2 linked regions of the Canis lupus familiaris genome follow. The protein of the gene in region 2 purifies or fractionates together with the protein of the main gene of each other region. This does not show direct contact. Links are inferred from orthologs where the notes say so. Each region holds a gene or a part of one and is shown on either strand. Other genes may lie near its edges.

Region 1 (5,440 bases), on a different chromosome or scaffold from region 2:
CCCTCAGCAGCCCTGCGGAGTGAGCTGAGGCTTCTCTATGCCCAGCACCTCCGCGCTTCTACCCGCCTCTCCCGAGCCTGGCCCCTCCCGCCTACCTATCCTGCCCTGCCGCCTCCTCGCCCCTGCCCCTGTGACTGCACAGTGCTTCCCGGGGACTGGTCACCTCCCTGCCGAGGGGAGGGCGCCTACCGGTTCCTTGCGCTACCCTAAATGCCAGGATGATGCCCAACACGTGAACAGGGCTTTGTGAGAGGGCCCAGAGCGGATCCTCCACTCCCTTCTGGAAACATCTCAGCCCACCGTGAACACAAGAGATGAGGAGCAGGAGGACCAGGTGACAGGGACACCATCCCCTAGATCTGGGGACACACGGCCAGGGTGACCACAGGGCATGGCCCTGATTGTCCCTGGTAGAGGAACAGAGCCCAGCCTGTAGAATCACAAGACAGGACAGACTCGGGGAACAGGGATAAAGCCCCCCGGGAGTCCCCGGGGCAGAAAGCATCCAGGCTGTGGTCAACTCTGCTGCAGGGGCCTTTGCTGGGGATGCAGCCTGGGGACGGGTGACAGTGGGGCGGGAGGGCTCCATCATGTGAGCCAGCAGAGGGCACGAGGGTCCTCGCGAGAGCAGAATAAACCGAGTCTGCGGTAGACGCAAATGGCAGGCCGTTCTGACCCCGGTTCTTCAGCTGCACCAGGGGAAAGGACTGGCAAGACCGGGCATGGGGAGGGTGGGGTCTGTGTGTGCAGCTGCGTGCCCTGCTCATGGGGGGGGGTCACCCCTGCAGCTGCGCACCTGCTCATGGGGGGGTCACCCCTGCAGCCACGTGCCCTGTTCATGGGGGGTCACCCCTGCAGCCACGTGCCCTGCTCATGTGGGGGGCGTCACCCCTGCAGCTGTGCGCCCTGCTCATGAGAGGGGTTCATCCTTGCAGCCGTGTGGCCTGCTCATGTGGGGGGGTCACCCCTGCAGCTGTGCGCCCTGCTCATGGGGGGGGTCACCCCTGCAGTTGCACACCCTGCTCATGAGGGGGGTCACCCCTGCAGGTGTGCACCCTGCTCATGGGGGGGTCACTCCTGCAGCTGCCTGCCCTGATCATGGGAGGATCACCCCCTGTAGCTGCGCGCCGACATGGGGGGGTCGCCCCTGCAGCTGCGCACCCTGCTCATCGGGGGGGTCACCCCTGCAGGTGTGCACCCTGCTCATGGGGGGGAGGTTACTCCTGCAGCTGCCCGCCCTGATCATGGGAGGATCACCCCCTGCAGCTGCACCCTGCTCAAGTACCAGCTCCCCTCCCCAGGCGCGGGGAGGAGGTCAGAGCACGTGACCCCTACAAAGTTTTCTGAGAGAGCCGGTTTGACTGGGGAGTTTGGGGGGGGGCCTGAACCCTGAAAGATGCTCACAAGTGACCTCCAACCAAATACGGGCCTGCAAGGGAATCCTTGGTGTAAAGCAAAACCAAAGGACGAGAGGAAAGCTGAGGAGACCGCGCCGAAGAAGCAACACCCCAAGTCGCAAAAGGGAGGAAACACCCGGCGTCCTACCTAAATCCCCAGCTGACTTGATGTCGATGTTGTCGAATCCGCTGCCGATCCTGACGATGATGCGCAGAGCTTTGAACTTCTCCAGGTCCTCCCTGGTCAGCGTGATGGTGTGGTACATCAGCGCCCCCACCGCCTCGTTCAGCACCTGCCGGCGGAGGGGCCACGCGGTCAGGGGCCGGGCCCCGCTGGGGAGCTGCAAACGTCCCCCCGAAACCGCCCCCCCCGCCTCCGCTGTGTGCTGGGGACTGCGGACATCCTAGGGCAGCAGCCACTGCTGTGACATCCGAGGGGACCGCAGGGTGACCTGCTGGCTCTGCGCTCAGACCCCCAAGCAGCCCGAGGCCGCGCCCCCGGAGAGAAGCGCTGGGCAGGGCGGGTAGGAGGCTCGCCTTCCGCGTGGACACCAGGCAAACAGGAGCGCAGGAGGACACAGCCTCGGAACCGCAGGGCCCGCCGGGGCGCGGACGGCACGCACACGGGTCGGAGCCGGGGCCCGGGTCAGCCCGCTTCGCCACGGCCCCATCTGCGCCCACACGCAGGCCCTGACGCTGCCCACGCGTCTCCGGGCCTGGCTGCCGTTCGTGAAGCCCCAGGAGCAGGTCAGTGTCCTGTCTCCCGAGTTTGCACAACGTGGGCCGAGGCGCTACTGTTTGCAAACCGCCCAACCGGGGCGACCTCTGGGAAGCGGGGGCTCCAGCCCCGCCCCGCCCCGCAGGAACCACAGCTGCAGCTCTGCGCAGGTGCGGACAAGACCTGGACGGGAGGGCACGCCCCCCGCAGGGCCAAGCGCACGGAGACCACGCCCCCACAGGCCACGCCCCCGCAGGGCCAGGCTCGCAAGACCACGCCCCCCGTAGGGCCCAGCAATACAGACCACGCCCCCCGAAGGGCCAGGCCCGCACGGGTCACGCCCCCGCAGGGGCCACACCCCCACAGGACCCAGCAATGCAGACCACGCCCCCCGAAGGGCCAGGCCCACAAGGCCACGCCCCCGCAGGCCCCAGCAATGCAGACCACGCCCCCTGCAGGGCCAGGCCCGCACAGGCCACGCCCCCGTAGGGCCCAGCAATACAGACCACGCCCCCCGCAGGGCCAGGCTCGCACAGGCCACGCCCCCGTAGGGCCCAGCAATACAGACCACGTCCCCCGCAGGGCCAGCCCCGCACGGGCCACGCCCCCGCCGGGCCAACCGCACGCAGACCACGCCCCCTCAGGGCCACGCCCCACAGGCCCCAGCAATACAGACCACGCCCCCGCAGGGCCAGGCCCGCACAGGCCACGCCCCCGTAGGGCCCAGCAATACAGACCACGCCCCCCGCAGGGCCAGGCTCGCACAGGCCACGCCCCCGCAGGCCCCAGCAATGCAGACCACGCCCCCGCAGGGCCAGGCGCGTGCACAGCACCCCAGCTGGTGCCTCCTGACCCTCGAGGCCTGCAGGTGGGCGCCACAGCCGGGCTGTGGTCAGGGGTGGGGAATGCCTGGCTCCCGGGGCTTTGTCCCAGGTCCAGGAGGGCAGCCCCGTGAGTGGTGCCTTCCAGGGCGTGATCCGCAGAAGTCGCGCACGGACCTCAGCCAGACGCCGGTGGGTGCCTACGGTGTCCGGTCTCCAGGCCCAAGGGCCGGGGACCCAGGATGGTCCAGGCGCACGGAGCCTCACAGCCGAGGGCCGGGGTTGTCCTTCCCTAGGGGACGCAGAGCAGCCTTCCTATCGAGGACACCTCCCACCCAAGGGCATGCGCTGGCTGCTGGGCACCGCAGCCCGGCGTCCGCCACGCTGCCCTCCTCCAGACTGAGCTTCTCGTGCTGGCTCTGGGTGTCCTGGCCGGCGAGGGACGCCAACAGCAGGCCATGGTGACCTTGAACCCCAGGATGAGGAAGGCAGCGAGAAGTGGTGCCCAGGACAGCCTGGACTCGGGGCTGATGTGAGAGGCACAGTAGGGGTCCTGCGTGGGGTGCAGGGCCCATGGGGAGGCTGCTGACTGCTCCTCTCATCTGCTTCTCTACAGCAGCTGAGCTTGTCGGACAGAGGGCAACCCAAAATACAGACCATTCCAAGGCTGGCCAACGTGGCCCGGGGCACGTGCCCACAGGGACCCCACACGGGCCAAGGGGGCGCGGGCTGGCTGGGCCTTCAAGGGACTGCAAAGTGCCGCTGGCCCCTGCTCCTGTTCCTGCACTGAGCGTCCTGGGGATCTCTGCTCCTGCAGGCAGGGAGCTGCCCACGTCCTGACGCCTCCCCCTGGACTCCCAGGACGTCAAGGCTGCATGTACTCCCACTCCCTGCCTGGCCCGTGGGGTGGGTGAGGACCCTCGTGCGACAGCCAAGTAGTAGTGCTGTGCACGGGGAGCACACAGGGAGGGCTTGGACGGAGCGGGGAGGGCAGACCTTGCCACCCTGTGCTGAGCTGCGTGGACCGGAGAGGAGGGTAGCCTCGGACACAGCTGTGCCCTGGAAAGAGGACAGACGCATCCAGGGACAGATGGACTGTGGAGGGGGAGGCTGCAGGGTGAGTCTGAGTCTTGGGCCTGGGCACCCAGATGCATGCACGGGCCTCTTCCTGGGGTGACCGGGCAGAGGCACTGGCCTGGGGACAGGCGGGGAGGAAGAGTGTCCAAGCACGGGCAGGTGTGTGTGCCCACGCCTGAGCCCTGAGCCATGGCAGGACGCAATCGCATCACGACTGTGACTGTGCCTGCTCCGTCCCAGCGTGGACAAGCCAAGACGCATGCCAAGTTCCAACTGCTGGGGTGTCTGGGCTGCTCCGCTGTTGGCTGTGCTGCCATAAAAATCCACAATTTCGGGGATCCCTGGGTGGCTCAGCGGTTTGGTGCCTGCCTTAGGTCCACAGCGTGGTCCTGGAGTCCCGGGATTGAGTCCCACGTCAGGCTCCCAGCATGAAGCCTGCTTCTCCTTCTGCCTGTGTCCCTGTGTCCCTGTGTCTTTGCCTCTCTCTTTCTATATATATATCTATCATGAATAAATGAATAAAATCTTAAAAAAAAAAATTCCACGATTTCCTGGAGGTCGGTCCTCGGAGCTGGAAAGCAGTGGGTCCATCGGAGAAGCCTCTGAGAGGGTGTCGGTGTGGCAGCTGGCCGCACCCGGGGGGCCGTTCACCCACTGGCACCCACTTCACGACGCCCAGCAGGGCAGAGTTTGAGATGCTGCGTGTGATGGACACAAACTGGCCATCTGTTACCTTAGTCTCAACGTGCCTGAGTGTGACCTACTGACGTTTCTTAATAAATTGGTTTCATGTCCGATTCCTTTTTCTACTGAGCAGCTGTAATCACGTGGTGCCCAGCGAGGCGTTCTCAGGGCAGAGACCACCCCAGCTCAGGGCTGCCCAACCGCCCTGGGAGGACCGGCTCGGCTGCAGGCCTGCACACAGGGAGCTCCGTCCAGGGGACCCAGGCCTGGGCCACCGCACTCCTGTGGCCAGCCCCGAGCTCCTCTCCAGGGGGCTGCTCACGCCCCGTCAGGACTGCGGAGTGGCTGGGATCCCGCCAGGCATCACATGGACTCCCAGGGAGGTGGTCTGCGGGGGGCCCCCAGGTGTTCACTCACGTCACCACGTGCCAGCTGTGACCAAGTTTGTCAGGCTTGAGGACCTGACCGCGTCCTCACCCCAGAATGGAGTGCCACGGGGCCAGTGGCAGCAGGGCGGGGGACTCAGTGGGCAGCTCGCGGAGAGAAGCCAAGGCCTACTGCGCCGCATCGGGGCCTCGCTCCTGCCCCTCACACACAGGTGCCCGATGCACAAGGTTCCGGGACTTCTGCACACCTGACTTTCTAGGACCACACCGAGGGTGTGGCTCGTTTTGTGCGGCTGCGGCCAGAAAAGCTCAGCAGTGGCCTAGTGCCTCCAACACACTTCTGTGTGGTTCCAGGGG
Region 2 (6,158 bases):
CATGTCCGGCATCAAGCAGAGGTAGCACTCCCACCTCCACCCCAGGGGGCCAGGCGGCAGTTGTCCCCAGGACACTATCCCCAGGCCTGGACTATGTCATGTCTAGTTGTCTTAGCACGTCCATGGTGATCAGGTCTCGGGGCGGCTCTGATGGGGGCTCTCTGAGAGCACATCGTCTCGTGCACAGGGCCCCCCAGCTGTGCTACAAGGGCAGGAGGGCACCTGGGCTGTGTAGACCCCCATACCTGCCCATCTGGTTCACAACAGTGGCAGAAACACAAAGCTTTTGTTAGGCGTTTTGTGTTTAAATGTAGGGCAGGGACAGCCCCGATTCCCCACGGGCCAGCAAGCGCCCTGGCCTGTGTGAGGGGACCTGGACCTACCTGCCTTCACTCTGTCCCCAGCTGCCTAGGCTCCCTCTGTGAGGTGGTGAGCACCTCAGGGCCCTCTGTCCTTGGAAAGCTCAACTCACAGCCCCCAGGGTGGGCCCCAGAAGTGCCACCAGCTCAGTCTGCATGCAAGCCCCGCAGGGAGACCCCTGGAGTGGGGTCCTAGTGAAACACAAACGAAATTACAGCCACAGATGCAGCCTCCGGGGCAGCCCTCAAGCTCTGACTCAGGGGTGACACTCACTCACTCACTGACCAGGTTGTCCTTCTGCTCCCCGCACATGGCTTCAGGCACAGCCCAGCCCTGCACCCAGGCCTATAACTGTGACCTCTCTTTCTTCCCCCAGCCCCCTGCCCCTGGCCTCGATGTGGCTTGCAGGAGGAGGTTCTCCTGGCGGCACTGGGGCTGCCCTGCTGCCTCAGATTCAGGTTATGGAGGCAGGTCCCCAGGGACCTCCACATCTGCTTAAAATATTGTCCTATGAAATGAAATTCCTCAGCGGATCCTGTGCTCCGTATCGGGCAGGCAGCTGTGGCCCTGTGCCGGCCTCGGCCACCTCTTCGGGCAGGGCTGGGGACAGCTGTCCCGGCTGTGAGGGGTTTCCAGCGCTTGCTCCTGCGGGCTCCAGCGGGGTCTGGGCCGGACACACTTGCCCCGCTTTGGCTCCTTCTCACCATGGACTCCCAGGACAGGGAGACCTGTGCTCTGCCCTATCTTCGATTCTGGTCCCCTGGCCTCAGGGCCAGGCACCCATTCCAAGTGGTGAGAAGAGCCAACAGGGCCCCCTTCCCCACCTGTTGGGGTGGAGCAGGCAGGGAGCCGAGTGCAGGACGCTTTGCTGTTTCCAGGGCTGCGCTGGGGGCTCTGAGCCGCCTCTCGCTTACAGCGAAGGCCCAGCCAGAGCGCGGCTGCACGTCCCACCGTAGGGCTCCAGCCGCAGGTCCTTCCTCGGCCCGAGCCTGACCGGGGCAGCCTGCAGCCCAGGAATGAGACTCAGGAAGCCGCCGTGCTCACACACCAACACCCACACCCCCAGGCCTGCGGGCCCACAGGTAGCGGGCACCCAGCCCTGGCGCACCAGCCACAAAACACTGGGGCCTTGTTCGCACCAAGAGGGGCCAGAGGTCAGGGGAGACGGAGGAGGCCGAGGCCCCGAGCACCGGGCAAGGGAGACGCGCCGGAAAGGTGCGCCTCCAGGAGGAGCCCCACACAACTCGGGGGCTCCGGGCCGTCCTGCCTGCGCCGGGAGCTGCTTTTCCCCGGTGCTCCATGGCGCGCGCCGGGCCTAGCCCCGCGGGGCCGCTGTCCCGGGAGCCAGGCCGACCCAACCACGACAGCACAACTTCTTCGGAAAGTGTCGGAGTTCCCAGCCCACCAGGCTCGTGCTCGGGGGCTCAGCCCCGGTGCGGAGGCTCGGCCGGCCAGGGTCAGGCGGGAGAGGGGCGGGCGGAGCGGCCTGGTGGTCGCGCGGGGATCCCAGGGGAGCTGGCCTGGCGCCCCCGGCGTGGGTGGGCGGGCGGCCGGCGGAGGAGCGGGCGGCTGGCACCGCGGCGCCGGTTCGTCCCCGCGCGGCGCTCCCGCTTCGCTGCAGCCGGGCCTCGGCCGGGGCTTCGGGAGCCGCGCTCTCCCCGCCGCGGCTCCGCCGCTCCCACCTGCCCTCCGCCGGGGCCGCGGTCCCGGGCCCGCGGGCCTCCCCGCCGATGGCGCCAGCGGTCCGGGAGTGGAGGGAGCGCGGGGGCCCGGGCGCGGCGGCAGGCGGCGGGGCGAGCGGCGGGCGCACCGGGCCGGCGGCGCGGACCCGGCGGGCGGCGGGCCGGGCGCGCGGAGCTCGGGGCTCGGCCCGAGACGGAGCGAAAGAGAAAGTAAGAGCGGGGACCGGGCAGCGTCGCCGCGGGCAGCTCCGTCCCCTCCGGGCCTCGGGGCTGCGCGTGCGGCCGGGGCGAGGGGGGCGGCGGCGGCGGCGGGAGGCGGGGGCGGCCGGGCGGGGACCCTCCCGCCGGAGGCACGGGCTCCCTCCCGGGCCGGCCGCGCGGGTGCCGGGGTCCCGGAGTCCCGGAGGAGCGCCCGCCGCCGCGCGGGGCACGGGGCGGGAATACACTTGGCGGCCGCGGGGCCGGCCCCGGAGGACGTGTCCGTGTTGCCGCCCCGGCGGCCGGGCTGTCGTGCCGCCGCCCCTGCCCTGCGCCCGCGAGGCGCGGTGGACGCCGGCCCGCGCCCCCTCCTCCGCCCCCTCCCCGGCTCGGGGTCTCCCTCCTCTGCGCCCAGCTGGCGGACGCCAAAGGCGGTGCTCTAGCGCCCACTATTTCAAAAGCCCGGAATATGATTTGACCAGGACTGAGAGCCACTCCGAGAGAGAGAGGGAGAGAGCGAGCGAGGAGGAAAAAGTTGCTCTCCCCTTTCGTCAACTTTTCGCTAACTTTCGCTTTTCGCTCCCCTCCACCCCCAGCCCTCCCCCTCCGCCCCCCTCCCCGGCCCCCACCGCGCGCCTCGGGTTCCCGGGCCCGAGCGCCTGACACTGGGGGGGGGAGGGGGTTCGCGAGGAGGGGGCCGGCGCCTTCGGGGAGCGCGCGGCCCGGGCGCCCCGAGCCTCTGCGCCGAGCCCGGCCGCCCCGGAGCGCGGGAGGCGGAGCAGCCCCCGGGCCGCGCGGCCGACCGGAGGGCCGGGAGCCCAGGGCGCGCCGGCCGCGCCCCGACGCGCACCCCTGGCCCGGGCGCCCCGGCCCCGCGGCCCGGACCCGGCGGCGCGGCGCGGCCGAGCGCGGGAGACTTACTTTTGGCTAGCTTCCTCGCCCTCGCCTTGGATCGCATGGTGTCGGCTCGCGGAATCTCTCTCCTCCTCCTTGAGTCCAGAAGCAGCTACACACTATCTTCATCTCCCCAGCATTGTCAGTTTGGACACCTTCGCACATGCGCACACAGCACTCAATCTGACACCCCTCGCCGGGGCCAAAAAAACTTTGCAATGTATTCATCATCCTCATCGTCGCGCCGCCGTCGCCGCCGCCGCCTCGGCGCGGGATTGGGGGGCTCTCCTCGGCCTTCCCGGTCTTCCTCTCACTTATCTCTCCCCCCCCCCGCCCCCTCTCCCCCCTCCCCTTTCCAGCGCAGCTCGGAACTGGCCCTTTAAGAACACATTCCGTGCTCTGCGCTCCCGCCCGGGGCCCGCACCCCGGACACTTTAAAAGGACCCAGGTGGCCCCGGAGGCGAGGTGACGATGCCCCCACCCTGCCCCTGCGCCGGCCGCGGGCGGAGTGGCGGCGGCGCGGGTCCGCGCCCCTTCCCAGGACGGGGGCGGGGGGGGGACGCGCCCACAGTTCGGACGCGGGTCTGGCTGGGTTGGCTCCGTTTTATGGCATTTTATTCCTAATTAAAAAGCTTTGCGTCCCGCGTCGCCCCGGCCTGCTCTTCTCCCCGCGTCTCCCCGCGGCCCCCGCCCCGCCCCGCCCCCGCCCGAGGGGGTGTCCCAGCCGCGCGCGCCGATCCCGGCTCCGCCGAAGCCTCCTCCGGAGCCCCCTCCGGGCCCCGCCGCCCCCCTCGGCCTGCCCGGCTCCCGCCCCTCCCCTTCGCCCCCACCCCAGCGCTGCGGCTCCGGGCTCCGCGGCTCAAAAACAACAGCGGTGGCGCCGCCAGCTCCGCGCTCCGCCACAATCCCGGCGGCCGGGGACACTCGGACCCGCCGCGCTCCGTCCGCGCGGAACCGCGGAGAGCCGCGCGCGCGGGCACCGGGGAGGCTGCGCGGGGGGCCGGCGTCCGAACCCGGCCACCGCGGGGGCGGGCCCCAGGTGAGTACCCGCCGCGCGAGCCCCCGAGCTGGGCCACCCTCGGGGAAGTGGCCGCTCGCGGCCCAGGTGAGGAGCGGGCGGGAGGGCCGGCGGAGCAGGTGGCAGTGCGAGGGCGGGAGCTGACCGGGTGCTTCTACCTCGCAGCCCTCCGACGCGGAGGGGAACTCGAAACGTCCGGGCCAGGGGCCTGGGAACTCCTCCCGTGTGTCTGAGATTGGAGAGGGACATGGGGGCCGACGCAGGCGCTGACCCCGGCCCTGCCGGGGACGCGGGCTCTGCGGGCTTAGGGACCTAAAGCTTCCCCGGAGTCAGCCTGAGCGGGGCAGAGGTCGAGCCTTTGCTGGGGTCTCTGCAGCCGCGGGTGGGCTCCTGGCTGTGCGCCACTCCCCGTGTGCCCCATTTGTCGTGCCGTGAGACGAGTGGCACCCGAGCCCTCACCACGGGAGAGGTGAACGGGTAAGGGCGGAAGGACTAACACGGAGACCCTGGGGTCCTAGCCGAGGCGCTCAGGATGGCGAGGGGTGTGTGGCCGGTGCTACCCCCGAGGAAGAGCTCCACAGAACAGGGCTTGGCGGGAGCCAGAAGCGGCGGTGCGCCGGGCCTTCCCGCCTCCGCACTTCACAGCTGCCTTCCTGTCTGAATTCAACTGGCCGGAGCGTCCACGGTTTCAGGGGTGCCCAGCCTTGCACTCTGCTTGCAGCCCCAGACGGAGAAGGCACTCTCCGCCCTGCTCTGTTTCTCCCTGAATTGAATGCAGCCTCCACTGTTCTCCGGCCCTAGGTGAGTGTTGACCACCGGCACCAACAGGGGCTCCAGGGGCAGCTCAGTCCCCTTGCCTGCGTCCTTCTGAGGGTCTGTCCCCCGCACCCCTCGCTCTGCCTGTCCCCGTGGGCTTCGTGGAGAACTGCCCGGTCAGAGGCTCCTTGGGCCTTGCTGCCAGGTTCTGGGGTTTGGGTGGGCCACCCCTAGCAGAACCCACTCAGTCTCAAGGTGAGGGGTCACTGGGAGAGGAAGGAAGGAACCTGGAGCTCAGAACTGGGAGTTGTTCTGCTTACCCCAGCCAGGGCAGGCTTCAGCCCATGGACCTCACCTGGCTGTCGCGCCACTGGCCAGAAACAACACAAGGTCACCCTCCTATCTCAGCCTCCCTCGTCCTCCTTGCTGGGAGCCTCCTAGCAAGTTTGGGTAGGAGACCTGGGGGGAATAGGGTGGTGCCTTCGAAGTACTCCCACCTGCACAGAAGGTCCTACCCTATCCTCCACTCCCCACCCAAGTTCAGGCTTCCTTTCCCTCTGGCCTGGAGGCAGCCCTGTAGACTCCAAGGTTCAGAAGACCCAATCTTCTTCTGGGGGCACCCCAGCTCACTCTGGCCCTCTCTCTCAGCTCAGAAGGTGATTAAAATCTTCTGGATCCTGGCCAAGCTGTGCCAGGACACTCTCTAGACTCTGGGACTGCACCCCTTTCCAGGGCCTGGGGAAGGAGGGCAGGTGGGAGGCTGCACTGTCTCTTCTCTGCCCCCTGCCAGGGCCCTGGGGCGGGGGTAGGGGCTGCAGCTCCGGGTCTGCCTGGGGAGAAAGAACCAGGGCTCAGAAATGACAGGAGATGACCTAGCTGCTGACATCCCCAGGTGCCGCTCCGGGCAGCGCACTCACTCCCATCAGCCCCAGGCTGTTGCAGGAGCCTGGGCAGACTGTCCCCAAGGCCACGGCCCTGGCCTGGCCGGGCCCTGCCCCCGCGTGGCCGGATTTAGAACCGAGAACAGGTCAGGCTATGCAGAGTCCGCAGAGAGAAGGGTGAAGAAGAGGGAACCAGACATGGGTCCAGACCGCAGCCCAACGTTGCAGACATTTGGGGACTGGGACATGGGGGAACAGGTATGGGCCCGGTGAGGGTGAAACAGGAAGAGGAGTGCTTTTCAGCTTGTTGATACTGAAAGGTTGGAGGGCACTTTTCAAACCTTGCCAAGCTTCAGGGAGTCTTGTGAC

The links. The genes of interacting proteins can lie anywhere in the genome.
Region 1: the proteins of PRDM16 (region 2) and CTBP1 purify together in Homo sapiens (affinity purification with mass spectrometry; 3 studies listed by BioGRID and IntAct, with this or other methods). This does not show direct contact. The link is inferred for Canis lupus familiaris from reciprocal best matches to the Homo sapiens genes PRDM16 and CTBP1.

What each region holds. Positions count from the first base shown.
Region 1 is NC_049224.1:91,997,522-92,002,961, reverse strand, and holds part of CTBP1 (C-terminal-binding protein 1), read right to left. Parts: exon of another isoform or gene 4,331-5,440; coding exon of another isoform or gene 3,200-4,330; exon of another isoform or gene 2,479-3,199; intron 1,691-2,478; coding exon 1,546-1,690; intron 1-1,545. UniProt on the Homo sapiens protein: Corepressor targeting diverse transcription regulators such as GLIS2 or BCL6. Has dehydrogenase activity. Involved in controlling the equilibrium between tubular and stacked structures in the Golgi complex.
Region 2 is NC_049226.1:58,176,921-58,183,078, reverse strand, and holds the start of PRDM16 (histone-lysine N-methyltransferase PRDM16), read right to left. Parts: upstream 3,443-6,158; 5' UTR 3,199-3,442; coding exon 3,162-3,198; intron 1-3,161. UniProt on the Homo sapiens protein: Binds DNA and functions as a transcriptional regulator. Displays histone methyltransferase activity and monomethylates 'Lys-9' of histone H3 (H3K9me1) in vitro.